Linked DNA regions of Ovis aries. The protein of the gene in region 7 purifies or fractionates together with the protein of the main gene of each other region. This does not show direct contact. Links are inferred from orthologs where the notes say so. Each region holds a gene or a part of one and is shown on either strand. Other genes may lie near its edges. The genes, in order: SMARCE1, ARID2, SMARCD3, SMARCD1, SMARCC1, ACTL6A and BCL7C.

Region 1 (4,241 bases), on a different chromosome or scaffold from region 7:
TTAATAGAGATGAACAAGAAAAGTGTTAAACTTGCCACTTATTTCTAATTAAAAAAAGAACTGAGCATAGGAGGTTGGCATTTCAGTAGTATGTTTCTTTAAATGTTGGGGTTGGTTCAAGGTAAGATGCAGAGTTATTTTATTTAGTAGGAAGTGCTGTTTTTTAGCTGAATTTTTCATCCTGTTGCTGTAATGATTGAGTGACTGTCACTGGAAGACATCTGGGTTTTTGTATCAAGGCCAGACTTGGCTATTACATTAACAAGAAAATTAAAACTTACTGTTGCAGGAGCTGGGGTGGGAGGTGGGGCATAAGATGGTCTTTCTGTTTGAAAGAAAATAAATAACTTCTTGTAAACAACTGAGATATAATACTATGCAACAAAACTACCAATGGTCCTGTTTTGAAGAAAAAAAAATGAGAGTATTTTGGAATTCCCATTTGCTAGGGCATTAGTCTCTTATTAATATAGATTGATAAATATAAAAAATGAAACTTACTTGACATTTTGGAAGATTAAGTTCTCAGTTCCTTAAGAATGAATCTGAGACACTAAAATAAAAAAAAGGAAAAAAAAAGAAAAATAAAGATAATCAAAACTCAGCAAGCATAAGAGAATGTTTTTCTAAAGAATAGGGTAGTTTGATATTTCTTTGTAAAATTACATTATCTTCTAGTAATCAAGCCTTTTAAATATTTTACTAGTTCTTTAGGTCACTCAGTTGATCAGAATTAAATGACTAAAACAAATGACAGGGGATATTAAAAAGTAAAATTAGACATGTACTTGCAAGTTTTTGTTTTTTTTTGATACTGAGCCACCTCTTGTATGGAAAACGTTTCGCTGATGCCATGTAAACATTTAATCAAATCGGTAAAAATACAATGACAAAAGAATATGATGTATTATTGGGGCCTACCTCAACAAGGCCTACCAGACACTGACAGCTCCATGACCAGCCACAGCTCTGCCTTCCTTTTAGGATAACAACTTCTTTCTAGTAAAACAGCATTTTACTCCTGAAGGCAGTGGAAAAGGTAACTGGTGTGACAAGAAACTTCACATTCTCTTATAGGAGTAATGGAGCTTCCCTGGTGGCTCAGCGGTAAAAGAACCCGCCTGCCAACGCAGAAGACTTGAGTTCAATCCCGGGGTTGGGAAGATCTCCTGGAGAAGGAAATGGGAACCCACTCCAGTATTCTCCCTTGGGGAATCCCATGGAGAGAGGAGCCTGGTACCCTATAGTCCATGGGGTCGCAAGAGTCAGACACAACTGAGCCACTAAAAAACAACATGATGGTAAACAGCTTCATAACCGCTGGGAATAAATTTCGAGAGTCTACTGGAAAAAACTCTTATTGATCTTTCTTAGCTCAACTCAAAATATATCTCCTCAATGGAGACTTCTGGACCTATCTGTACAAAATTAAATGTTTCCTCATTTGTACTCCAATTTACACAGATCAATATCATATTACACCTGCTAATATGGGGGCTGAATGGAGACAGGGACCAGCTAGTTCATTATTGCTGTCCCAGTACCTAGCTCAATTTTTACCAACTTCAGTCCTAGTAACACTAGCTCAGGACATGACCACACACACGTGAACTTGTTCCTTACCTCACTATACATTACACACCATGTGTACAAAGAGATGAACATTCATTTTCACAAAAAAGGCAAATAACTTCTATGACTACTAGAGTATTTTCATCCGACATTATGAGAAACAAACATGATTTTTTTTTTGCTCCTGTTTTGTATTTTAAGGGCATTTCTGGAGCATTATGAGTAAGAGGCCTGGTGTGGAAAGAAAGAAATCATTTATTTTCTCAATGGCCCAACCTGGGTCTCCCTCTCTCCTTAAGGTACATGCAGGACACCAGAGTCTAATGCAGATTTCCTTCCTGCTCAAGCTTGGGTGGGCTGTCAACATCCAGTAGGCCTTGCTGTGGGGGGCCCTGATAATATCTGCCACAAGCTCCCAGGTGTGTCACATTTTATTAACACTCTAAAATTACTGGTCTCTTTTGCTATACCATAAATTTCAAGAGTGATCTCGTACAATTGTCCACCACTGTATGCATCTCCGGTGCCTGGCATAAAATCCTGGAGAAGTTATTTGTTGAATACCTTATACGGGACAGGCTTACTACTTTCACACCATCTGGTTTAACAGTCACACTACCAACGAGGTGTGTACTGCTATTGCCATTTTACAGAGGGAAAAAAGGAGTCTCGTTCAGTATAAGTAACTTGGCTCAAGACACAGAGTCAGGAAGTGTCAGAGCTGGGTTTCAAACCCAGGCCAAACTGTTGCCCAGCTTTCGCTTTTCACTCCAAGCCACACCGTGAGTCCTCAGATCGCTGCCTGGGCAAGGGGAAACCATCTTCCTGGGGGTGAGGACCACGGGCTTAGCTTGCCCCAAGGGCTTCCTCTGAGACCGATTCGGTTTGGTTTGATGTGTAGGTGCACTTTACCAGCTACTCTACTGAAGAGGAGCATGCAGAAGCGCCTTGACCACTTCCGTGGGGTTAGTGGAAGGGGCACTTCTGGCCGCCCAAGAGGAGCCCCAGATGGGACTCTCTCCCCACCCTCGCTCCGCTAGGCCTCAAAGAGGCCGCAGCCGGCCCCCGGCCCTGGTCCCGCGGCCAAGCCTGAACCCCAGCAACCCTCAGCAACCCCAGCCAAGCCGGGACCCCACGCCTCTCCACCCTCCCGACCCAGCCGGGCCCAGTCGGAAACACTCACCCGCGGGCAGAAGAAGCGCCCGCAGCTCCGGCCTCGCTTCCCTTTGTCCCGCGCACGCCCCGCCCCTCGCGTCCCGAGCTTCCGCGCTCGCACTTTCAACACTCTTCTTAATTCCTTTCCAGGCCCCACCCGACTCTCTTCAGGAAAATAAGCGTTCTCGTGGGGACGCGGTGGTGTTTAGCACAGTCAAGGATTTTTTTCAGGCTCCATACGCTCCTCAAAACTCCCCGAAAGTCAGTACTTTGCCAGCCGGGCGCCGATTCGTCACTCCGGAGAGGGAGGAGGTGGCCCGGCCGCGGGTAGGCCCGGCCGCGCGGCCCCCAGCGAGCCGGAGCGGGGACGGGAGGCGCGGCGGGAGGCGCGAGGCTGAGCCGAGGGGGGGCGCGAGCGCGGCCTCAGCTTCCCCGCGCGGGGCCGGAAGGCGGCGGGGAGCGCGCCCGGTCGCCAGCCCCGGAACCTCTGTGGCCGCGCGGCCCGCGCACCACCCCGGCCGGGCTCAGGCCGCGCACGCCCCCCGTCCCTGCCCCCGAGAGTTTCTGGGTTTTTTTTCCCTTCCGGTCTTTTTCTTGACTCTTTCTCTGGGAGCTGGAGTGTATATACTTCACCAAGCCGAGGATGGAGGCGTGGAGAGCCGGGTTTACAGTTTCCGTCCTCCTGCGCGCCTCCCAGGGCTTCCTGCCTTAACCGCGGGCAAGAGCTTTGGCGAAAGCAGCGCAGATCTTCCCAGCTGTTCCCAAGCGCAAGGCTGGTGTAATTGTCACAGGTTTCTGAGCCAAGGCCCGGAGATGTAAATCTCCTTGCCCCCGGTTGTGTGTCCCTGCAGCGCTGGGCAAGGGGTCTGTGTCCTAAAGCGCCTTGGCTCATTCGGTTTCCTCTGCCAGGAACGACAGTCCTTCACTTTTGGGTTTAAACTCATCTGTCCTTCCGGATCCAGCTCAAATTCTGTCCCTGATGCCCTCCGGGAACTCCCTGCCTCACGCGCCCCTCCTCCTCCCAAATTAACAATTATGGCCTTTACCTAATACATTGTATCAGACTGTGTTTGTTATTCTCAGTACTCTATGAGAGCCTTGAAAGCAAAAATTCAGCGGTCTGCATTGGTCATCTTCCTATAGCCAGTGCCCAGTAAGGCCTTGAACCATTGTAAGAAGCTCAGTAAATCTATATTGAGGCAGGCTATGGTCTAGTCCAGGACTCTTTTCACTAAATCATGACCACGTTGATGTACTAGATAGCAGCCTCTCCTTGGATACATAAACACTTGACCGACGTGCGCCACTGCAGAGAGGGGAAGGATCTGAAATCACTTGAGAATGGTGTTGACGTTTAGAATGACTTGATTCTTCAGCTACCCTTAGCCACCATCCTGGGTGTGCCAGCAGGGACTAGGGTATCTCCAGAAGTATGCAAAGCCAGGGACAAGTGACCCTCTGTCCAGTTCTTCCACCTCCAATATTTTCATGTTCATGATTAGAGATTAGTGAAA
Region 2 (3,686 bases), on a different chromosome or scaffold from region 7:
CTCCCTGGTATATTTAGGCAGCCAGCTGTAGGGGGCACAAGCTCAGCTCCTAGAGCACAAAAGGCCATTGTGAATCATCCCAGTGCTGCCCTTATGGCTCTAAGGAGAGGATCAAGAAATCTTGTCTTTCGAGACTTTACAGTAAGTAAGCCTTGGAAGCCTTAACTGTGAAGGTGTGAACACTGTATGATTTAGACCTTTATTCTTTTTCTTTTCTTTTCCTTTTTAAGGATGAAAAAGAGGGACCAATAACTAAACACATCCGACTAACAGCTGCCTTAATATTAAAAAACATTGGTAAATATTCAGAATGTGGTCGCAGGTGAGTAATCTGTTTTCTGTAGTCAGAGTGAATTTTTATTTTACTGTTACCTGTAAGTTTAGATATCTGCATTGTATTCACTGTTTTTCTCATCAATTTTTGGATGTCCAAAAGCTTATGTCAAAGTAGACTGTCGTAGATTCTTAAAAGCCACAAAAGTGGAAGTTGAAACAACCAAAAGGTGTTCTTGAACTTGTTCAAGTTAAATTTCTTGTTCATCATAGCATTTAGAGGAAAAAGTAGGTCTACCAAAGAACACTTGGGAGTTTACTAGGAGGAAAAAGGAATTCGTTACTTGAATCATGTGGAATTAGAATGGAATTCAGTTTGATAATTGCCGTTTTGATGAAACCATCAAAGTCATAGATATGCTAAGATTCTTGGACTTACGAGAAAACTTAGTATTTTATAAATCTATGGAAACTGGAAACAGCTCTAACTCTTGAGAAAGCAAATGTAGATTTGTCTCCTTTGAACCTTGAAAATAATCTTTTAGTATTCTTCCTCCATCTTCAGCTGACTCAACTTGGGCTCGTTAGTTGGGAAGTCATGCTTTAATGCATCTTGCCTTCCAGACAGTGCTTTTCTCTCCTACTTTTTCTCTTCTCACATGCTGTTAATCGAATCTACCTTGGTTCTCCTCCTCCTATTTTACTTTGTGTTGGATCTTAATATTCCTTGTAGTTACATTCCAACTGGACTTTCTGAGCAAAAAAACAGAGGCATCAATTACAAAGAAGCAATTACTTTAATATCAAACTTTAAAACTTAGGTAAATTTAAAGCGAATAAAACTTGTTTAAAAAAAGTGTTTGCAATAACGAAAGTTACTATATTTCATGAATCAAGTATTCCCACAGAGGAATAAGAAAAAATTCTTAACATTCAAATTAAAAATAAAGTTTTTTCAGAAAAGAAATAAGAAGGTTTTGTCACTAGCATCTCCCAATTGCATTTATAGTATCATTTCTTCCTTCCTGTCTCACTATATTTCTCTTCCTACTCCTTCTTTGGCTGCATATCAATTTTAGCCAAATTGAACCGCATGCAGATTCCATCCACCCTAGATGTCTTTCATGTCACACTTTTGTATCTTCCCTGGGTTGAGGCCCATTGAGCATCTGCAAGCCTTCCCTAATCCAGCTCAGACGCTGGCGTCTGTGTGCTGCCTTTCCTGTGCTGTTTTCCTCTTCCTCATTGAGTCTGTGTTTATAACATTTCTGTTTTATAACATTTCATCTTACGTTTTGTAAGTGGGTTTTCATATGGCTTTCCACCCTACTGTATCTCTCAGATCTAATCTCTTGACTCTATTGTCACTTCCACTGTATAATCATAAGGGATTTGATTTAGGCCACACCTGAATGGCCTAGTGGTTTTCTGTACTTTCTTCAATTTAAGTGTAAATTTTGCAATAAGAAGCTCATGATCTGAGCCACAGTCGGTTCCAGGTCTTGTTTTTGCTGACTGTATAGAGCTTCTCCATCTTCAGTATTGACCATCTGGTGACGTCCATATGTAGAGTCATCTCTCGTGTTATTGGAAGAGGGTGTTTGCTATGACCAGTGCTGCATTCTCCTGGCAAAACTTTGTTAGTCTTGGCCCTGCTTCATTTTGTACTCCAAGGGCAAACTTTCCTATTAACTCCAGGTATCTCTTAACTTCCTACTTTCGCATTCCAGTCCCCTATGATAAAGTGGACATCTTTGGTGTTAGTTCTAGGTCTTTTAGGTCTTCAAAGAACTGTTCAGCTTCATCTTTGGCATTAGTGGTTGGGGCATAGGCTTGGATGACTGTGATGTTGAATGGGTTGCCTGGGAAAGGAACTGAGATCATCCTGTCATTTTTGAGACTGCACCCAAGTACTACATTTTGGACTCTCGTTGATTATGGTAATTAGTAGTAATTATGGAGTGATTAAATTACTCCATTTCTTCTAAGGGATTCTTGCCCACAGTAGTAGATATAATAGTCATCTGAATTAAATTCTCCCATTCCAGTCCATTTTAGTTCACTGATAGCTAAAATGTCGATGTTCACTCTCGCCACCTCTTGTTTGACCACATCCAATTTATCTTGATTCATGGACCTAACATTCCAGGTTCCTAACAATATGTTTCTTTACAGCATTGGACTTGACTTTCACCACCAGAAACATCCACAACTGGTCATTGTTTTTGCTTTGGCTCAGCCCCTTTTCTAAAGCTATTTCTCTACTCTTACCCAGTAGCATATTGGACGCCTACTGACTTGAGGGGCTCATCTCTAGTTTCATATCTCTTTGCCTTTTCATATTGTCAATGGGGTTCTAAAGGCAAGAATACTGAAGGAGTTTGTCATTCCCTTCTCCAGTAGACCACGTTTTGTCAGAACTCTCCACCATGACCCAACCATCTAGGGTGGCGGATAAGGGTCATTAAGTTACATAAGGCATCCATGTGATCATTTTGGTTAGTTTTCTGTGATGTGGTTTTCATTCTGGAGGCCATAGGATTGCAATTCTTGCTTCTTCTGTTATGGAGGGTGTGACCAAAGCCATCCCAAAGAAAAAGAAATGCAAGAAAGCAAAATGGTTGTCTGAGGAGGCCCTGCAGTTAGCGGAGAAAAGAAAAGAAGTGAAAGGCAAGGAGAAAGAAGAGAAAGATATGCCCAACTGAATGCAGAGCTTCAAAGAATAATAGGGAGAGATAAGAAAGGCTTCTTAAGTGAACAGTACAAAGAAATAGAGGAAAACAATAGAATGGGAACAACTAGAGATCTCTTCTAAAAGAGAGATACCAAGGGAACATTTCATGCAAAAATGGGCTCAATAAAGGACAGAAATGGAATGGACCTAACAGAAGCAGAAGATATTAAGAAGAGGTGGCAAGATTACACAGAAGAACTGTATAAAAAGGATCTTAACGACTTGGATAACCACAATGGTGGGGTCACTCACCTAGCATCGGATATCCTGGAGTGTGAAGTCAACTGGACCTTAGGAAGCATTGCTACGAACAAAGCTAGTGGAAGTGATAGAATTCCACTGGAACTATTTTAAATCCTAAAAGATAATGCTATTAATGTGCTGCACTCAGTATGCCAGCAAATTTGGAAAACTCAGCAGTGGCCACAGGATGGGAGAAAGTCAGTTTTCATTCCAACCCCAAAGAAAGGCAATGCCAAAGAATGGTCAAACTACCATACAATTGTGCTCATTTCACATGCTAGCAAGATATTGCTCAAAATCCTTCAAGCAAGGCTTCAGCAGTATGTGAATGAAGAACTTCCAGATGTTCAAGCTGGATTTAGAAGACAGAGGAACCAGAGATCAAATGCCAGTATCCACTGGATCATAGAAAAAGCTAGAGAATTCCAGAAAAACA
Region 3 (4,247 bases), on a different chromosome or scaffold from region 7:
CGTGGGCGGGGCCAGTGCTCCCAGCCTGGGGACTCGCAGGGTTCGCCCCTCCTGTTTCCTGTCCCTCCTTCACCCCAGCTCCCTCCACACCACCCTTTCTGGGGCTCCCTCACGGCCCCACCCCTACCCCTGCTTACTTTGGGGTCCAGAGATTGGCCCTACCATACCCAGCGCCCCAGCTCCTGCGGGTCCCCCGCCCCCACCCCCAGCCCATTCCAAAGCCGTCAGGTCGCGCTGGCCTCCGCCTCGCCACCCATCCGTCCACCCCAGTTCCTTGCCTGCCCCCACGCTTCCCTTCCCGTTCTCACGAGCCTGGCCCACCTCCCTCTCTCCGAAATTTCCCCTACTGCCTCGACTTTGTCACAGAGAGACAAAGACTCACATAGCCCGAAATAGACACCCCGAGCGGGGAGACACAGACCGTGTCCAGCCACACACGCACCCGCGCCCGCCCGCGCGCGCGCGCGTACCGGAGGCTGCGGTGGAGGGAGGCACACAGAGGAGGCATTTATCTGTGCACGCACGTAAACATCCACACCCACGGCCGCCGGCCGTGCCCACACCAGGGTGCAGACACACTCAGCGGTGAGACAAGGGCGCACACATCTATGGACTGCAGGGCACACCGCCTCCGGGGCACACCCACCACGGCCGCCCGGTGCCGGAGAAAGGCCTCCTCCGGGCTCGACTCCCGCCCCCCGCCACCACCACCCCCTCCACCCACCCCGGATTCCTTCCCAGCGAAATGTTTCCCTACTTGGCCTGCCAGGTCTCTGGGGAAAAGGGCCTCAGAAATGCGGCAGGAGCCACTTGGGGGCAAAGTTGGAACGGCCTGTTCCCGGCCTGTTCCCTGCCGGCGAATTCCCTAAGCGAAAAACTATTTGCGGCGAGAGAGGCCGGGTGGCCGGCGAGCCCCCCGGCCGCCTCCCCTCGCGTCCCCTCCCCGCGCCGCCGCCGCTGCCGCCGCCTCCCCGCGGCCCTCGGGCGGCCTCGGGCAGGCGGCGCCGCTGCCCAGCGGCCCGGAGCCGCGCTGGCCGGCGAGCCTCGCCGCTTATCTGCGCTGTTTGGGCCCGGCGAAGCTTGGGAAAGGCAGGCTTCTCCGTCCCCGCCGAGTCAACAGGCGGACCCCGGGCCGCCGGACTATTTCTGTCTTATCAGTGCAGGAATGCGGCAGCCGCGGCGGCTGGCGGGCGGCGGCGGCGGCGGCGGCGTGGGCCGTGGGCCGTCAGGGCAGCCCTGAAGGGGCCCCCTCCCCACTCCGCTCGAGTAGAAGTGTGAGAGAGCCCAGCAGGACTCAGAGGGGAGAGTTGGAGGAAAAAAAAAAAAAAAAGGCAGAAAAGGGAAAGAAAGAGCAAGAGAGAGAGAGAGAGAGTGAGAGGCGCCGCTGAGCCCACCCCGATGGCCGCGGACGAAGTTGCCGGAGGGGCGCGCAAAGCCACGAAAAGCAAACTTTTTGAGTTTCTGGTCCATGGGGTGGTGAGTGGGGGAAAAGTTAGCGGGGGAGGGCGAGCGAGCTGGCTCGGGCTGAATGGAGGGAAGGTCGGGAGGGGCCGGGAGGGGGCTCCCGCTCCCCCCACACCCCACCCCACGCCTCTAGCGGGAGCGCCGCGGCCCAGCGGGCCCGGCCCCAGCCCCGTGCCGGCGCGCCCTGGGGGCGCCCGAACACGTCGTCAGGCGGCTTGGCCGGGGATGGGTGCCCCGGGGCGGGGAAGGCAGGCGTTTGCATGGGTTCCTGTCAGGGGCTTGGGGGTAGAACTTGGGGACGGTCTCCCCCAAAGTGGGTGGGTGGGTCCCCTGTGGGGACAACCCGATGGGTTGTCTTCCCTTCTTTCCCTGGTGGAGCCCAGGTGCGACCCCTGCCCTGGGAGTGGGGGGTGGGGGGACTTGGCATCGCTGCGCTGGGCTGCTTGTTCATCAGCTGGGACAGTGTCTCGGGAGCAAGGAGCAGGTGACCCTGGCGGCGCTGTGAGTGGGAAGCTCTGGGGCTGAACCACCTTTGCATCCTGGGCTGAGGGCTCCGGGGCTCTGCCCCTGGCCTCTGCCAATCAGGGCCAGAGAGAGGCCCTCTCTAGGGGCAGACCCCAGGTTAAGGGGTCTGAGGATCCTTTGGCAGCCTCCACCACCAGAAGCTGATGTCCTTAACACCTCAAAGGTGTGAAGGAAGAGCTGGAGTCAGGGACGGGAGGCCTGGAGACCAGAGGGGCAGGTTTAGAAGGCCCACTGGGAGCCTGAGTGAGCCCAGGGAGCCTGAGGGGGTGGGGACGGGTTGGAAGGGCTGTGGCATAGGAGAGGCAGAGGCTCCAGGACTTGGGACGGCCACTGGTGCTGAAGCCGGGCAGAAAGGAAGCAGTCGGGTTTACTATGGCCAAATTTGGTTGTGACCCCAAGGAAGACACGTTCTCAGTAAGAGAGGCCAGAGCCCCTAAAATGTTGGCCCTTTGGGCAGGTCACCCATCCCCGCTGGCCAGCACAGCCTTCTAGGGGCTCTGGAGGCCTCCCTCTTGGGGCCTCCTTAGCAGATCAGTGAGTACCACCAGCCTCATTAAATGGGAGAGCAGCTGATGAGGAAAGGGGCTTTCCCAAAGCAGCCTGTTCTCCAGGCCCATGGGTCCCTAGGCTAACTTCCAAGGGGTCCCCATGTTGGTTAGCCTCATGACCAGCCCTGATCTTGCTGCCTGGGGTGTCCCAATAAAAGGCCCATCTAGGAGTGAGAGAGTGTATACATGTGGATTTTTTTTTAAGTCAACTCACTGCTTCAGTTCTTGGGTGGCCTGAGCCCCACTCCCAGCGCCCTGTCTGTGCTGGCAGGGAGTGGCGGGCCTGGGCTCCATTATGGGCCACCACCCTGGAGGTGTGAGTGACAGGGTCAGGTGGGGTGGGGGAGGCAGACACATGGACAGGCAGGTCTCACTGCTGAGGCTGTGACAGGCAGAGACAGCTGGTTGGCTGGGGGTTAGGGTTAGACACGGCGCGGGCAGGAGGGACCCGGGGGAGGGGGGCAGTGCGAGGAGATTCACTAGGCTCAGGGGCAGGGCGCTTCCCTGTTCTGGGAGCAGCTGCACCCCTGGGGTGGAGTGGGTGGTGCTCAGATAGTATAACAGGGGCACAGGGTCTGTGACCGTGGCTCCCTGATCTCCTTCCTGCTCTCCTGGCCCCCGTCCACATCCTGGCCACCCTCCGCTTGACAGCCCCTTGGGCCCTCCCCAGCCTCTCTTCTGGAATGGGACAAGTGAGGTTTTACGAGTCTGTGGAACACTTCACTCGATGCACTGGGTTGTCATCTGTATCCCAGTTGAGCACCCGGGTAGCAGCAAGGGCGCACACCTGCCTCACCTGCCTCCCCGTGCCCCCTGGGAACCCAGACTTCTGACCTCACTGGGGTAGGGTGGGGAGTAGTTGTAGTCTGTAGGATGGGGCCATCTCTGGTGATTCAGGCAGACAGGAAGGGAGAGATAGATATAAGAGAAAATGTCCATCCTTTTGACCTACCCAAGCCCTCTGGACCACCCATCACCAGTCAAGCCTCATAGCCCCCCTCCCCTCAATGGGAGAATCCTGGTGAGGTCTGACCTCAGCCCCTCAAGCTGCTTCTAGCCCTACCTCCAAGCCTTCACCTTGAGAGTAAATTATGCAGGTGGGCTAATTCAGCCAAGCCCCTGACGGTAGAGGCTGGGAATCAGAGCAAGGGGGCAGGGATTGGGACGGAGGGGCAAAAGCAGGGCCCCAGAGAGGAAAGTGGGTTGAAGGCAGGGAAGGCAGGGAAGGCAGGACCCCCTGGAAATGGACTGGGAAGCAGGCAAACGGGAAGGCAGACGGCAGAAGTCCGGAGCAAGAGAGCCAGCCCTGAACTAAACGAAAGCAGCAGAGAGGGCACAAACCCCGGGCCCCTCAGGAAAGGGCCTTGCATGACCTTGGCTAGGTTGCCTCTCTCCTTGAGCCGCGGTTGCCTCATCCGTCAAGTGGGGATAGAAGGCCCTCAGTCTGTCTTGCAGAGGAGCGTGTGGATAGGAGCATCCTTTGAAAAGGTTGAAAGGCGCCATTAATATTCATCTTCGCGGCACCTTCCGCAAATCCGAGGCTGGCGATGCCCTGTGCAGTTAGTTGCCTGGCTTCAGTTAGCTTCCTGCAGCGAGACGCAAGCCACCACCACCCCCCCCCCCCCCCCCCCCCTCCGCCAAAGCCGCGCGGTTCCGGCGCCCCCGCCCCTCCCCACCCCTCCCAGCCCCATCGGCATCGCGCCGTCGGCA
Region 4 (3,686 bases), on a different chromosome or scaffold from region 7:
CAAGGCATGTTTAGGCAGATAGTGAAAGAAGGCACTTTCTCCTCAGAGCACCATGCCTTCTGGCTCTACATAGTCTTTGCCTTCTTTCCCTTACTCCATATTAACTCCAGTAAAGCTGTCCTTTCGCTAGACCCTGAACCATCATCACTCAGCTGATAGTAATTCCTACAACCCATACGCTGGGTCAGTAGAAGCTAGTTTGTCCTATATTCATGTGGTTAAATTTAGGCCACGTTTTATTTTGTGTGGTGTGTGTTTACTTGAATGTATTTTCAGAGTCAGTTTAAGTTTAATAAGTAAAGATACTGTAGCAGTGGTCTCTTTGTGGGGAAGGAGAAACTTACTTTTCATTGGCTATCTTTTGTACCATTTGACTTTTTACCATTACTACTGAGGCTTATATGCAGTATATTGCACCCAGTTAAAATCTGATGATTTTTGGCTGATGTGCACATCCTATAGCTACCACCGCAGGGAGAGTACAGAGCATTTCTGTCACACCAGCAAGGTCTCTGGTACCCTTTTGCAGTCAACTCCTTGCCCTTCAGTCTAAGACTTATGTAATTAGGTCTTAGGGAACAAGCCCTTTACCAGGCCCCCTTGGTTTCCTCCTCAGTGTTGACCCGAATGATCAGAAGAAGACAGCTTGTTATGACATTGATGTGGAAGTGGATGATACCTTGAAGACCCAGATGAATTCTTTTCTGCTGTCTACTGCCAGCCAGCAGGAGATTGCTACCCTAGACAACAAGGTAGGGACCATGGCCTGGATGGTTGGGTGTCACCAGCCCTCTATCACAGCTTCTTGGCTTCTTTGATTTTTGATATTCGTTCAAAATATGTTGATACCCAATATATGCTGGGCACTCTGGTGCTGGTTGGAGCCAGACGCACATAAGTTCTGATTCTTAACTATATCTCTTAATAGCTTTGAGCCTCAGTTTCTGATCTGTGAAACCATAATGCCTATTTTTCTAAAGTTGTTATGAGGATTAAATGAGACAATGTATGTGAAGACATGACGTTGTATCTGGCACATAAAAACAAATGGCGGCTGCTGCTTCTGTTGTTATTACCGTGAACGTTATTAGACATAGTCCATGCAAGTAAAGCCAGAAAGGCTCTGGGAACACAAAGGAAAACAGAAAGGCTTTCTTGGAAGAGGTGATGCCCCAACCTAATCTTGAAGGACATGGGAGTCAACATGGGAGTTGGACTATAAAGAAAACTAAGCACCAGAGAATTGATGCTTTTGAACTGTGGTGCTGGAGAAGACTCTTGAGAGTCTCTTGGACTGCAAGATCAAACCAGTCAATCCTAAAAGAAATCAGTCCTGAATATTCATTGGAAGGACTGATGCTGAAGCTGAAACTCCCAATACTTTGGCCACCTGATGCGAAGAACTGACTCCTTGGAAAAGACCCTGATGCTGGGAAAGATTGAAGGCAGGAGAAGGGGAAGACAGAGGATGAGATGGCTGGATGGCATCACCGAGTCAATGGACATGAGTTTGAGCAAGCTCTAGGAGTTGGTGATGGACAGGGAGGCCTGGCGTGCTGCAGTCCATGGGGTCGCAAAGAGTCGGACACAACTGAGCGACTGAACTGAACTGATGGGAGTCAAGAAAAGGGGAGAAAGGATGATGGTACTTGAGGGTGTGGGGGGCAGAGGACATTCCAGGAAGAGGGAGCAGGGCATATGCAGGCCCAGAGATGAGCAGAGAACCTGGCATGTTGAAGAAACACCAGCTCTTCACTGTGTTAGATAAAGCTCGGGGTGCCAGGGGGAAGAAATGAGAGGGAAGCAGGAACCTAGTCCTGAAACCGCTTTGAGGCAGGGTAAACTGGTTTATACTTTGTCCTGAAAATGGGAGGGCCTGGTGCTGTTTTATTTAGAATGCTCACTGGCAGGATAGTGGGAGGTGAACTGTAAGGGGGTCAGATCTGGGGGAAGGAAGCCTAGGTGGGGGATGGTGCAATAATGCGCATGATGTATGCTATGGGCCTAACCTTACGGCGCTGATCGTGAGGACGGATGGACGTGAGCAGCTAGGTTTGGGAGGTGTTGAGGTGGAACTGTAGGGATCTGGACACTGGATGGAGAGGTGGGGTGAGGTGTGAGGGAGAAGAGGTGTTATGAAGACCTCCAGGTTTTCAGCTGGAGTGTGCAGTTGTAGTCATTCAGATTGGGAGCAGGAGAAGCAAGCCTTGGGAAAAGGTAGTGCTTTTGTTTTGGGGAGTTTAAGGTGTCTTGAGGTGTCAAGCAGATGCATCAGTAGGAGTGTAGAAAATGGTCTGTGATCTGCAGCCTGGGGACTCGTTACCGTCAGTGGTGCTGGAAGACATACAAGTAGATGAAATTACCAGGAAGAGAGTGGAGCATCAGCGAACAAAACCCACGGACCACAGCTGCAGAGACAGCCCTGTGTACCACTTTTTTTCTACCTGAGAGTTTCCGTTTGTGCTGTGGATTAAAAATTTCCCATGTAGTGTCATCCACAGTGGACATGGTGCAGACTGTAAGGAAAACTTCACACACGGGCGGTGGACAGAGACAGCGCCAAGCGCCAGAGCAGGTGGGGCCCTGGGCAGCAGTGCCATTTGGGGGCTGCATTCTGTTCCTTGGTTGGGAGTGGCACAAGGAGAAGTCATACATTGCCTGCCACTTAACTTTGCTTTTCCCCAACGTGGAAATGTTACGAACTTCCTTTCCTTCTTCCTTTCAGATCCATGAGACAATAGAGACTATCAATCAGCTGAAGACCCAGCGGGAGTTCATGCTGAGCTTTGCCAGAGACCCTCAGGGTTTCATCAACGACTGGCTACAGTCCCAGTGCCGGGACCTCAAGGTAGGGAACCGGGGACAGGTGCAGAGAGACTTGGGCCCAAGAGGCACATGTCTGCTCTGTGTCTGTAGCGTGTGGTGGAGAGCCGGGGAGAGGCGAAGGGCCAGACTTCCTTCAGCGTGTTCTAGTAGGGAAATGGAAATGAAACCGTCAAGTGTTTATCTCGTATTTACTGTGTGCTGTCACTGTGCTCACGTTGTAGGGGATACAGACTGCAAAACTCGGCCCCTGCTTTCAAAGTAGCATCCATTCTGTTTGAGAAACCAGGCTAATGGGATTTTAAAAGTAATAAATCATGTGCGACATTATCAGAATTTCACCGGTACCAATAAGATGAAACAAAGGAGAAGGGAGATTGGTGAGACTAGGATAGCTTGGAAAGGCTTTCTGGAGAATTTGGGATTTGAGAGAGGGGTGCTCTCTGAGAGGAGCTCGCAGAGAGAGGAGCACCGCAGGCTCAGGCAGGAAGGCAGGAGTGAGCACAGTATGTGAGACGCCCTCAGTTCTCGCCTGTCCTGTGCTGACTGCAGCCAGCCTGGCCAGAGGAGCAGGGCACGGGGGTGCCAGGAAGGATCCCTGAACAAGGCAGGGGCTTGTCCACAGCATGAGTGGCTTGGGGTGCTGTTTTAGTGGTTTAGTAAAGTACCACGGCTCCCGTGGCTTAAACAAGGGAAATGGATGGTCTCACAGTTCTGGAGGCTAGAGCCTGAAGTCACAGTGTCAGCAGGGTTTGGCCCCTTCCAAGGGTGGGGAGGGAGAGTCTGTTCCAGGCCTCTCTCCTGGCTTTTAGTCGCTCAGGTGCTTCTTGGTTGGCAGCTGGTGTTCTCCATGTGTGTTCCCC
Region 5 (3,686 bases), on a different chromosome or scaffold from region 7:
AAACCGTCTGCATAGAAAACCAGAACCAGTGGGCCAGGGCAAGGAGTGGATCTCTTCTAAAGCTTGTGCTCTCCCCTACCAGGGATGAAAGGGGGTGTTCTGCCAGGCAGGCTGGAGGCTCTCATGGTCCTCACTAAGGATAACATTGGGGGGGGTCACTTTTCCCCATCTCTTTAAATTTTGGTGCGTCCATGTGTGGCAAAAGTCTCATGAAACTTCACCATCAGCACCATTCTTAGCTCAGATAAGCAGAAATAAGGTCACTTACAATGCCTTAAGGTTTGTCCCCTCTGGCTATCCCCTCTGCCCATCAATATTTTTTGGTTCCTATTAACTTAGGATGCTCTCCTTTAAAGCAATAATGACCAAAAGGAAAAAAAAAGAAAAGTGATAATGATTATAAAGCATTATCCATATAAGCATAAGACAAAGCAAAAACAGAACAAAACTGCAGGAGAGCAAAAAATGATACAGACATAGACCACTAACGTTGACAGGACCTGCAGACACACTGTCAGCATACCCCACAGCGGGTCAGGGAGACGCCAGGTATTTCAGGGCGACCAGGGCACACTGGCAGCAGTGGCTTCCCCTTGAGTGCTGGAGGAGGACTAACACAGCAGGTGTCAGAGCACGGAGAGGGGTGGCAAGAGGAATGGGGAAAAGTCAGGGTGCGTGCTTGGGGCTGTGAGAAGAAAACTCCTGAAAGAAACCCAAGGAAGCGGAGGAACACAAGTCTTGTCATCCCCACTCCAGCTGGGGGCACTGGGCGCGGACGTCCCCTGTGTCTTTCGGGCTACGGTGCAGCTGAGGCTGGTGGGCCAGGAGCGGGAGGTGGAGGGCCTCCGTCCGCAGGTGCTGGAGGTGGTGGCTGCTGCTGCGGCGGAGGGGGATCTGCAAACACATCCAAAAGGAACTTGTCATTGCCGGAAACACAAGGGGCCTGGGCAAGAGCCCATGCAGAGAAACAGGACTTATAAAGGAAGTTTCTTTATGGCCTGTGAGGCACGGCTGCTGCTGAGGGCTACATGGGGCGGTCCACCTGAACCTCCACGTCACCACCTGTGTGGCTCCCCTGACCCACGCGGCTCGGGGGTGCGGAGGTGTCTGAGTCCGCCCCACTCTCAATCCCTCCAGACCTTTGCAGAACTTAATTATATTTTGATTTTATCATTATCTTAATGGTTCTCACTGCTAATTCTCTCTCTTCAGTTAAATGATAAGCTCCTTCCTGGACAAGTTCTGTGTCTTCTTTGCGTTCTCTCAGAGTGCCTAGCCTAGCTGGGGACGAAACTGCCTATCAGAAACTGCTGGCTTTTATGAACTGTCTCCACCAGGGTCACAGAGATTGACTTGAGGCAGCGGCCAACAAGCTGGATAGCCTGGAGAGGCCCCGCAACTCCTGAACTGTAGTCTTTAAATTTTTGGCCAAAACTAGGTCAGGTCCTGAAGGGAACAATTAGGAAAGGAGCTCTTTCCTATTTCTACTTTGACTGCTTTAGTGTACAAAGCAACCATAGAGATACTTCAATCCAGGGTTTTAAAAACTTCAAGATTTTGCCAGGGATGAAAACGAATTAAACAATTAAAGCACCTCCTTGCTTACCAGCTAATTCATCCAACCTTCCCCTCAGGAGGTGTCCACCCAATTGCTAAGGCTCTTCAAAGCGTTTTGAAGCCCACCGATTTACTCCCTAGTGTCACCTTTCAGGGGAGCAAAGTAAGGCCTGAAGAGGGAAGTGACTTGCCTGATGAGGCCTGCCCAATGCCCTGAAGCCAAATCAGCAGCTCAGGATCCCTGAAATTCATCTGGGGCAGGAAGTGATGGGGAGCACCCCAAACATTCCACACCCTCAAGGTACTGCACTGAGGGCCCTTCAGGATGGAATCATGTATACAAATCAGGTGTTATCAGCAGGACAGGACAGTGGTAAAGACCAATGATATTATGTTTGCAACGGGGATGGCAGCGTGGTCAACCCTCCCAGTCAGCCAGCACATTTTTACACTGCCTGTGGGGCAGCAAGGCTAGGAAAAGAGGTACGCACTAGACTATGATCTCTGATCCTTGATGTAACAACAAAGATCGCTTAAAAAAAAAAGTTTTTTTTATTTATTTGGTTGTACCGGATCATTAGCTGCAGGATCATGCATTAGTTGCATGCAGGATCATTAGTTGCAGCATGTGGGATCTAGTTCCCTGACCAGGGATCAAACCCGGGCCCCGTGCACTGGGAGCGCAGTATTAGCCACTGGACCACCAAGGAAGTCCCTCGTTTCTCAACAATGATCCTGTACTGACCTGGCTCAAGTGCTGTCTTTCTTCTGTGCACCTAAATCTGTCCTTGTTCCTAGGAGTCCAATGAGAAAGGAGATGCACCTGTGTTGATGGCACTTGTCTCCTGGCCCTAGGAAGTCTCCCAGAGAACTATAGTGAGCTCAAGCCACTCAATAGCCTTGTGTAACTTACGGTAAATCCTACACTACTATCCATTTGTTCATGTTTTATTTTCCCAACTAAAGCTCCTGGAGGCCAGGAATACCTCTGCATCCTAGCTCTCTGTATTGTATTATAAATTCATTATTATTACTTTATGTTTTTGTATTATAAATACATTATCATTTTATTATAAGCTGTATTACTATAAACAAACAGGGGCTGACTCCACCTCATGAGAACCCAGGTCCTCCTCTAAAAGGACCTGGGATCACAGATGTGGCGGGGTACATGGCCACTGTCAGCTGCATTTTGGAATCATTACCATGGTCCACAGGGTAAGAGGGCAGGCCAGGCTCTGATGCACCCCTTTGGAGGCCAGGGTTGGAGCAGAACAAGGGTTCCATGGCAAAACCGAGCTGGTTTTGCACACTGCCACAGACACTGTTCATCAGCATATGTGCCCGCTCGATGGAGCCCGCTAAGACTTCAAACTCCTTCTCAACACAGCCCTGAATACTCTTTTCTAAGTCTAAGCAGCCACTACCAATATATTGGACAAAAACTTATTATTATTCTTGCCCTAAACCAGACTCTATTCTTTTCTTTACACTTACCTCTTTTAAATCCTGAATCCATAAAAGGCTCCTGTACAGAAAATAACTACCAGTAGTTCTGTGTATCGACTCAGATTCAAATTAGATAGCCTCAAACAGGCATGGGTGAGGTGTGCCCTTGGCCTTGCCAGAGCCCTTGGTGTCACGAATGCATCCACGAAGGCTATGGAAGGCTCCTGACTAACTGGGAGCACTCTGTGCTCACCACCTGGGTACCTGTCCACCAGGGATGCTGAAGCGCAATGACCAAAGCCCAGGTTTCAGAAGCGCCCCTCACAGGCCATCCTGTCCAGGGATCTGTCACACCCCAGAGGGAACAAACGGTGCTTGCCTCCCTTGTGTACAGCTCTCCCCAAAAGTCCCGAGGGTAGTGCCTCCCCCCACCTGGGTACTTACACATGCCGTTAGGTGCCGTGAGGGGTACCCGGGGTCCTAAGATGTTTCCTGGGATTGGAGGCATACCAGGAGGGGTGGGGCCACTCCCAGGGGGGTGGATGCTGGCTGCAACGGTGGGCATCATGCGGCCTGGCATGGGCTGCCCAGGCATCATGGAACCTGGGCCTGGTATCTGACCTGTGGAGGGAGAGTCAGAGTACTAAGGTAAGGAAGACAGGAATCAACTCACTGCCCGA
Region 6 (3,686 bases), on a different chromosome or scaffold from region 7:
GGGTTTTGATGAACCCCAAAGCCTTATGCCAAATGGAGGAAATCAGATGCAAAATTCCACATAATGTGGAATCACTTACTCTAATATGGAATGACCAGGAAAAGCTAATTTATACAGACAGAAAGTAAAGTAGCAGTTGCTTGGGGCTGTGGATATTATGAGAAGTGACTGTTAAAGGGCATACAGTTTCTTTTTGAGGTGATGGAACTATTCTAAAATTATGTTGTAATAAGAGTCACACAACTGTGTAGCTTTACAGAAGAAAATCTCTTCATTGTACACATAAAATTCATGTTATGGAAAATTATATCTCTATAGAACTGCTAAAGAACTGGAAGAATATTTTTTGTTACAAATATTTTATTTCTTATATTATCCTGATACTTGGAATAAATAACTATCTTTTGGATTCAGAAAAAAAAGGACTCAGTACCCATGGTTTTTATTGGTGACTGGTCATGTAGGTACCTTGTGCCCAACATGTTCCAAAACCCCAGACTCCCAGTTTAAACCACACTGTTTGTATAAATGGTTTAGGCACAGTGAACTACTCTTATTTGGGGAAAGTTTTATATCAATGTAGGAAACTGTTTACCAGACAAGTTCCCAGATGCCAGCCAAGGGTCAGCCTTGCAAGCAGGCCTTTCTCAGGTTTGCTGAGTTAACTCTTTCTGCATAGCAAGAGTTTATTAGTTCAAAGTGTTTGAGTATAGATGCTGGTTTAATAAGCAAGTAAGAGTGATTTTAAGACATGGAATTGATTTTTTTTTTTTCCACCCAGAAAGAGTTTGGGAGGTGAAAACAGGATTGAGGGTGAGATTCCTTATGGAAAGTTACTCCGTATTTAACCAGTAGAGGTGCCTATGAAGGGGAATGAGATGAACAGTTAGAGAAGTAGGAGAAAATTCAGGAGAAAACCAAGAAAAGAAAAAACTCGAGAAGAAGTCCAGTGAGTCTCATGTTCTTAACTGTGGCATTGAGATTTATGCTAAGAAGGGGAAAGAGAAGTTAAAGCTATAGAGGAAGTGCCTTGACCAAAATATCCCATTCTGGACTTTCACTGGTCCGCCTGCCAATGCAGGGGACGTGGGTTCAATCCCTGGTCCAGGAAGATGGCACAGGCTGGAGGGCAACTAAGCTCACGTGAAGCAGCTGCTGGAGCCCGTGCACCCTGGAGCGTGCGCTCTGCAGCCGGAGAAACCACGACAGTGAGAAGCCTGAGCACTGCAACTAGAGAGCAGCCCCTGGGGAGCAACGAAGGCCTAGCAGCCCCCAGAAAACAGAGCAGTGAGTTAAACCCATCCTGATAGGCCTATAACAATACTAACATGGTGTACAGATGATGCCATTCTTTGTTGGTCTGTGGCAGAAGAAGTTTGTGAACTCTTGAATCAATGGTGTCAGTAATTTAGAGAGGTTAGGTGAGATTGCAGACGCAAAGGATCCACTGGGCTTACCTGTTGGACGTTCGTTAGTGACTTACGCAAGCAGTCAGTGTAATGTTTTAATGGAAAGCAAATTGAAAACATATTCTTCTTTAAATTTTTTATAATGTTTTTATGTCTTTTTTTCATACAGATTGTTGCTGTTAGCTCCAAATCATGCAATTCTGTTTCCTCTTACAATTTGAATTGTGCTTTGGGCTTTATAGTTAGTACTTAACCGAATACTATTTATTTGGTATTTTAGGTGTGTTAGATACCTTAATTTTATCTGGGTCAGGTCTAGGGGTTACGGTACTGTTGGGGCTGGAGGAGCCATATCTAGAAGACAAAGCTAATGTCTATATGAAGTACTGTTTTATGAGGTAGAGCTGTAAAATAAGTCAGTTCTGTATATTAAAGTATCAGTGCTAAACCATTAGAAACAGTCTCTCAGAAGATGCTGTATTCATCTCCAACTAAGTATTGTTTTCAAGGTATTTATCTTATATTCTAGTTGAAGATTGGGATAGTTTCCAGGCTATTTTGGATCATACCTACAAAATGCATGTCAAATCAGAAGCCAGCCTGCATCCTGTTCTCATGTCAGAAGCACCAGTAAGACAAACTTTTTCAAGTTTTCTAGGTTGTTTTTTTACTCATTTTACTTTTTTTCTTTAAAGAGATATAGAAATTCATATTTTGAAAATGAGGGAAAGGGGGATTCTTTTTTAAATACTCTTACAACTTTTATTATTTCAATAATAAAAATACTCAAAGAACAACAGTAAAGCACCCAGTGGGTTCTGGCAGTTATTTATCTATTTTTTTCCAGGAATTTAATATCTAATTTCCTTTGACTGCTTCCCATTTTGGTTCATGAATTGTCCCTTATCGCTCAAGGGCAGTGTATATCTGCTTTTTTACTCAATCTTAGGAGTGACTAGATTCATTCTTAAGATTTAATACTTCATGTTTATAAGAATCCTGATTACTCTATACTTTGAAAAGTCTGTAGTTTCTAGAATTCATAGCAGCAATTTTACTTTTCAGATAATAAACTTTATTAAATTTATTACAAATACATAGAGATAAATGTTGTAAAGATATTATGAAGATTTTCCATGGTAACTTAATGTTTTACATTTTTGTTAATACAGTACTGAAATGAATTTTGAGATAAATCAGCATTTTAGTTTTTAAACAATAAGTAATTTGCATTTCTTTTTCCCTACTCTCAAGTGGAATACCAGAGCAAAGAGAGAGAAACTGACAGAGCTGATGTTTGAACACTACAACATTCCTGCATTCTTCCTTTGCAAAACTGCCGTTTTGACAGCGTATCCTTGAAAGAGTAATACTCAGCTTCTCTTCATGAGTGACTGTGGTTCTGCTAAAGGTGATGTGCTCAGCAGGAAGACAGGAGTCAGTTCTTGCTTGTCAGAAGTTGAGGGAGTTTTCCCCATTGCTTTTTGGATACCTTTCTTTCAGTATTTCTTACTGGAACTGATGTGCATGAAAGTGTGAGACGGAGATGGGAAATAAACACTCAAATTCTGCTCATTAATTTAACAAAGTTTTTTAAAAATTGTGTTTTTAGAAGGGGAATGTGAAGAGAAGGCCTAGATGAGTTCAAAGAGTGTCATTTCCTTCCTCCTCTCCAATGCCTGAGAAAAGTGGAAGTTGTCTATAAATTCATTTAAGATTTAATCACCAAGTATTTTTTATGAGCATATTAAGGAACAGACAAGGAAATACTATGTCCTGACCTCAAAGAATAATGTAATATTCTTGTTGAAAACTAAATAACATTTAAATAGTACTTCAAAATAGCACTGGCAAAAGTCATAAAGAAGTACATGATTCATCTGAAATTTTCAAATAGCAATTATAGTTCAGTGGAGGAAGATTGAAGCCTGACAAACCTTGTAAAGAAAAGAGAATTTTGAGACTTCCCTGGCAGTCAGTGGTTAAAGACTTCGCACTTCCAGTGCAGGGGACATGAGTTCAATCCTTGATTGGGGAACTAACATCCCGCACGCCATGTAGTGCGCCCGCCACCCCCCTCCCCCCCAAAAAGTGAGGGAATTTAGTTGCAAGGTGAAGGGAAAGGAGTCCTATATTTAGAGTTCAAGTAACAGTGCTGATAAACTGATCTTGATTTAGGTACTTAAAATCAGCCTCACCTTTTATACATTTATCCTGTGTACCTCCCTGGATTGCTATAATATTCAAGTGAATTTTACATGTGTGAGAATCACTGTG
Region 7 (4,344 bases):
AAGAGTTAGATACAACTGAGTGACTACACCACATGCGTAGTAATCACCACACGAGACTGTTGTAAGGATTAAATGAGACAGGAAAAGCTATTAGCACGGGGCCTGGCACAGAGTAAGTGCTCGATAAATGCGAATTATTGTCTTTATATTAGTAAAGGTACAAAAGTGTGTGGAATGATCTAGACATGGAACATAGGCCCAAATCAGGGTGTTCTTGGATGGGAACAATGAGGTCAGTAGGGGACAGTTCATGAAGGGCCCAGAGTGCCAGGTTGAGGAGTCAAAGGTCATAGGGCATCACTGAAGGCTTTGCAGCAGGAAAAGAACCTTGTCAAACTTGTGTTCAGTGGGGGTACAACTGGAGGAGGGAAGATCCCGGAGGCTGGAGCCAGGTGTGGGCGGGAGAGATGACAGAGCTGGGGAGGCAGGGGAAGGCAAACACACCCGGGAAGTGAATCTGACCAGACAGGGGACTGACTCTAGGGGAAGACACACGAGGAGGACTCATGCCCAAGATCCTAGCTCACTGGCTGTGTGTGCTTAGGTAATTTACTTAACCTCTATGAGTTTTGGTTTCTCATCTATAAATAGAGATCATAACCCTCATAGGGTGTAGTGAAGATTAAATGAGATAAAACATGGAAAGTGCTTAGCTCAGTAAATACGAGCAGTTATATTATCACTTATTATTAATCACTCTTATGAGTTTCACAATTGTTTTATCGTGCATGCATGTTCAGTCATGTCCAACCCTTTGGGATCCCATGGACTGCAGCCCACCGGTCTGTCCAGGAGATTATCCTGGCAAGGATACTGGAGCAGGTTGTCATTTCCTCTCCAGGGGATCTTCCCGACCCAGGAATCCAACCAAGGTCTCCTGCATTGGAGGCGGAGTCTTCACCAGCTGAGCTATCTGGCTGCTGTTTAGTCACCCAGTCATGTCTGACTCTTTTGAGACCCAATGGACTGAGCCACCAGGGAAGGCCCAGCAAATACTTATCGAGCACCTACTATGTGTTCCGTGGTGTTCTGAGGATAATACCAGTGAACAAGGTCAACGTGGGCCCAACAGTCAGGAAGCTGACATGAGGGGGAAAGAAAGCTATTTAACTAGTACGAAGCTAAATCTACATGAAAATCTCAGACAGTGATAAGCTGTCCACAGAAGCTAAGAAGCCAGAGAAGGAGAGAGACAGTCCCTAGAGGAAGGGCAGGGACTTTCCACAGAACTCAGGGAGGCAACTTAGGAGGAAGAGCTGGCAGAGGGGCAAGCTGGTGGCTTCCACTTTGGAGTGGAGAGGGCTCCTGCGAGGCGCCTGGTCCTACCTCTCTCCTGGCCCAGCTGTGGGGGCTGAGCATCCTCTGGGACCCCTTCCGGTGGTCCAGCAGGTGACACAGGGCGGCTGGGCTGGGGGGTGCCCCCAGGGCTGGGCTCCGTGCCCTTCTGCAGGGAGCCTTCCGAATGGAAACTCTGGTTACTGTTCTCATCTGTGGGGGAAAAAAGCCAAAAGGGTTGGGCCTGAGGCCCCAGTCCCTTCCCTTAATGCCCACAGCCCCCCCCACATCCCAGCATCCCTACCTACCATTGAGATCCAGCAGGATGAGAGGGCCGCCCCCTCGGGGACTGGCGCCTCTGCCCCTCCGCTCCCGGCCTCGGGATCTCTCTGCCCCTCCACCTGCCCTCCGGCGCTCCTGGGGGTTAGAGAGCTAAGGGTCAGAGGCAGCTTTCTGGTTAGCACTTGCCAAGCCTCCACTGTGCAAATAAAGAAACTGAGGCAGAGAGAAGCGGAAGGCCCCGCATGAGGTGATGGGTTGTGCACGCTGGGTTAGGTCTTGAACCCGGGAAGTGGGGGCGGCGGGGGACCGAGGTCTGGTGATGGGGGGGGAGGGGAAGAGGCGGAGTTGCTATTAATTGTTAACATCTGTCTGTGCTCCTGCATTTGAGCTCTGAGTGGAGACTGGAGGTGGAGGCCAGGGTGGGGAGGGGCTTGCCCGAGGTTACACAGAAGAAGGGCCTGGGACGGGGGTGGAGGGGGGGGGACTTGCTCACCTCCTCCTGGGGGTCCACCACTGGCACCCACTTGAAGATACGAAGGGAAGTGTCGCCCACAGTCACCCAGCGCTTCTCCCTGTGGGATAGTGGGGGGACTGGGTCAGAGAGGCCTGAGGGGAGGGCCACCCCGGGAGTGGGACACATCTGGGGATACCCCGAGATGTGGGGGTGATGCCCTGATGGAAGGGGCACTTTTGCTAAGAGGACATAGTTAGAGGGAGAAAACCTGCAGACCCGAGGGCACAGATTGGCAGGGGCTGGGGGGGAGTTGCTTCTAGAGAGAGTGTGACTTGGGGTCGCGGCTCTGCAGACCCCTGGGGTATACACATGGAGAGCTCGGACTCTGAGGCCGGCTGGGGACCTTAGCAATGAAGATCCCCAGCACACTCGCGGGAGGAGTGTCAAAGCTTCAGGGGGCGGGGCGTAAACGGGGGCTCCAGCTTCTGGAGGGCAGGACTGGGGAACACGCTTTGTAGACCCCAGGGTGTAGCCAGAAGGAAGACAGAGCCCCGCAGCTCGGGCGCGCAGCTGGGCGGCACAGCTGGCGAAGCGCGGGTAGACTTATCTGGGGGAGGAGTGGCCCATCGGGTCCCGTCCCTGGCCCCGGGGCAGCGCTCACCATCTCCGGACCTTCTCGATGGTCGCCATCACCTTCTTGATGTCATCCTTGGCCCGGCTCCGGGTCTCGGCCCGCACGGTCCGGCCGGCCATGCTGGCGGGGCTGGGGCCCAGGCCGAGCCCGCGGCTGGGCCGCCTCCCGTCCGGCGGGCTCAGGCTCGGCGCCAGGCCGGGGCGCCGCTCTCTCGGCCCGTCGTCCCTCCGGGAGTTGGTCGCGCCCTCCCTCGCTCCCCCAACGCCTCCGCGAGTCCCCGCCCCGCTTCCTGCCGCCGCGCCCCGCCCCGGCCCGTCCCCGGAGCGGCCGGGCGGCGCGGGCGGCCAGAGCCCAGGCCTGGAAGTCGGCCGGCCCCGCCCCAACCGGGCCCGCCCCCTCGGGGCACCCGGACGCGCAGCGCCCCCTGCCCGCCGCCGAGAGGCAGGTTGGGGGCAGCTGGGCGACTGGACGCGCGCGGCGGGGCTGCGGCCGTGCGTTCAAGCCACGTGGGCGCCAGGGGGCGAGAGAGGGTCAACGTCCCGTGTGAGACCGCTGCGCGTGGGGACGTCCCTGGGACGCTGTGGGTGTGGGTGTGTGTCTCTCTCGCCAGGCTATCAGGTTCTACACTGTTCTACTACCCCTTCATCCATTCATTCAACAGTCTGAGTGCCAATTACGTGCCTGACACTGCATATAACTGATTCTTCACCCACCAAAACGGCTAAAATGAAAACGACGAAACCTACCAAGTGGAGGCGAGGAAGTAGAGCAACTAGATCCCTCATATTTCTGGAGGAGTGTAAATTGGTAGAGATACTACTTCGAAAAGCTGGCGGTTATTCAGCGAAACTATGATCCAACAGTTCCACTCCTAGGTCGTTAACAGCCGACAGAAATGCGTGGGTATGAGCACCAAGGGGCCTGTCCTGGAATGTTCATATCTCTGTGATAGCCTCAGACTGGAAACAACCCATCGACAGGGGAGCGGAAAGTGAACTGTAGCCTGTTTACACCGTGGAGGACCCAGCAAGAAGGCTGAGGTCCTGCTACCCCCAACAACGGAGACAAGTCTCATGAAAGGAGTAGGATACAGAAGTACACATTGTATGATTTCATTTACATGAAGTTCAGAACCGACAACATCAATTAATGGTGTGAGAAATCAGGAGGGCGGTCACCCATGGGACTGGGAGGGGCTAAGAGGAGGGTTCTGGGAACGGGTCATGCTCTGTTTCTTAATCTGGTGCTGATTCCCAGGGCATGTTTACTCTTGGAAAATTCGTTGAGCTGTACGCTTATGATGGTATGCACTTTTCCCTACTTGAATGAAAAGTTTACTTAAAATGGAGTATGTCTTGGTTGATTTTGTTTGAAGCTGTGTTTATCAGCAGACATGCTAAATTTGTGTGGCTGTGTGTGTGTATTTCAAGGGTGTGGCTACTGTGTCTGTGTGTTTTCCAGTGACTATATTCAGAGGGATTAAGGTATAGGAAGGTGGTTATGCCAACATTTCTGGAGCCAAACTGCTGGGGTAAAATTCTACCTCTGCTTGTCCAGTGACCTTGGACAAGTCACATCTCTATTTCCTCAACTACAACATGGGAATGAGTTAATATGTGTATAACTCTTAGAACAATGGCTTGCACACAGTAAATACCCAATAACAGTCTCTGTTAATAAGTACGATGGCCTCACCTGC

What was found.
Region 1: the proteins of BCL7C (region 7) and SMARCE1 purify together in Homo sapiens (affinity purification with mass spectrometry; 5 studies listed by BioGRID and IntAct, counting the BioPlex papers as one, with this or other methods). This does not show direct contact. The link is inferred for Ovis aries from reciprocal best matches to the Homo sapiens genes BCL7C and SMARCE1.
Region 2: the proteins of BCL7C (region 7) and ARID2 purify together in Homo sapiens (affinity purification with mass spectrometry; 3 studies listed by BioGRID and IntAct, counting the BioPlex papers as one, with this or other methods). This does not show direct contact. The link is inferred for Ovis aries from reciprocal best matches to the Homo sapiens genes BCL7C and ARID2.
Region 3: the proteins of BCL7C (region 7) and SMARCD3 purify together in Homo sapiens (affinity purification with mass spectrometry; 3 studies listed by BioGRID and IntAct, counting the BioPlex papers as one, with this or other methods). This does not show direct contact. The link is inferred for Ovis aries from reciprocal best matches to the Homo sapiens genes BCL7C and SMARCD3.
Region 4: the proteins of BCL7C (region 7) and SMARCD1 purify together in Homo sapiens (affinity purification with mass spectrometry; 5 studies listed by BioGRID and IntAct, counting the BioPlex papers as one, with this or other methods). This does not show direct contact. The link is inferred for Ovis aries from reciprocal best matches to the Homo sapiens genes BCL7C and SMARCD1.
Region 5: the proteins of BCL7C (region 7) and SMARCC1 purify together in Homo sapiens (affinity purification with mass spectrometry; 4 studies listed by BioGRID and IntAct, counting the BioPlex papers as one, with this or other methods). This does not show direct contact. The link is inferred for Ovis aries from reciprocal best matches to the Homo sapiens genes BCL7C and SMARCC1.
Region 6: the proteins of BCL7C (region 7) and ACTL6A purify together in Homo sapiens (affinity purification with mass spectrometry; 3 studies listed by BioGRID and IntAct, counting the BioPlex papers as one, with this or other methods). This does not show direct contact. The link is inferred for Ovis aries from reciprocal best matches to the Homo sapiens genes BCL7C and ACTL6A.

What each region holds. Positions count from the first base shown.
Region 1 is NC_056064.1:40,602,566-40,606,806, forward strand, and holds the start of SMARCE1 (SWI/SNF-related matrix-associated actin-dependent regulator of chromatin subfamily E member 1), read right to left. Parts: upstream 2,801-4,241; 5' UTR 2,756-2,800; intron 554-2,755; 5' UTR 509-553; coding exon 502-508; intron 326-501; coding exon 282-325; intron 1-281. UniProt on the Homo sapiens protein: Involved in transcriptional activation and repression of select genes by chromatin remodeling (alteration of DNA-nucleosome topology).
Region 2 is NC_056056.1:140,601,979-140,605,664, reverse strand, and holds part of ARID2 (AT-rich interactive domain-containing protein 2), read left to right. Parts: intron 1-17; coding exon 18-141; intron 142-230; coding exon 231-322; intron 323-3,686. UniProt on the Homo sapiens protein: Involved in transcriptional activation and repression of select genes by chromatin remodeling (alteration of DNA-nucleosome topology). Required for the stability of the SWI/SNF chromatin remodeling complex SWI/SNF-B (PBAF).
Region 3 is NC_056057.1:115,437,964-115,442,210, reverse strand, and holds the start of SMARCD3 (SWI/SNF-related matrix-associated actin-dependent regulator of chromatin subfamily D member 3), read left to right. Parts: upstream 1-1,268; 5' UTR 1,269-1,398; coding exon 1,399-1,476; intron 1,477-4,247. UniProt on the Homo sapiens protein: Involved in transcriptional activation and repression of select genes by chromatin remodeling (alteration of DNA-nucleosome topology).
Region 4 is NC_056056.1:136,217,913-136,221,598, reverse strand, and holds part of SMARCD1 (SWI/SNF-related matrix-associated actin-dependent regulator of chromatin subfamily D member 1), read left to right. Parts: intron 1-616; coding exon 617-752; intron 753-2,725; coding exon 2,726-3,088; 3' UTR 3,089-3,686. UniProt on the Homo sapiens protein: Involved in transcriptional activation and repression of select genes by chromatin remodeling (alteration of DNA-nucleosome topology).
Region 5 is NC_056072.1:52,090,156-52,093,841, reverse strand, and holds part of SMARCC1 (SWI/SNF complex subunit SMARCC1), read right to left. Parts: intron 3,628-3,686; coding exon 3,451-3,627; intron 895-3,450; coding exon 797-894; 3' UTR 1-796. UniProt on the Homo sapiens protein: Involved in transcriptional activation and repression of select genes by chromatin remodeling (alteration of DNA-nucleosome topology).
Region 6 is NC_056054.1:208,327,648-208,331,333, reverse strand, and holds part of ACTL6A (actin-like protein 6A), read left to right. Parts: intron 1-1,938; coding exon 1,939-2,039; intron 2,040-2,663; coding exon 2,664-2,761; intron 2,762-3,686.
Region 7 is NC_056077.1:27,484,454-27,488,797, forward strand, and holds the start of BCL7C (B-cell CLL/lymphoma 7 protein family member C), read right to left. Parts: upstream 2,925-4,344; 5' UTR 2,765-2,924; coding exon 2,673-2,764; intron 2,130-2,672; coding exon 2,051-2,129; intron 1,693-2,050; coding exon 1,584-1,692; intron 1,489-1,583; coding exon 1,327-1,488; intron 1-1,326. UniProt on the Homo sapiens protein: May play an anti-apoptotic role.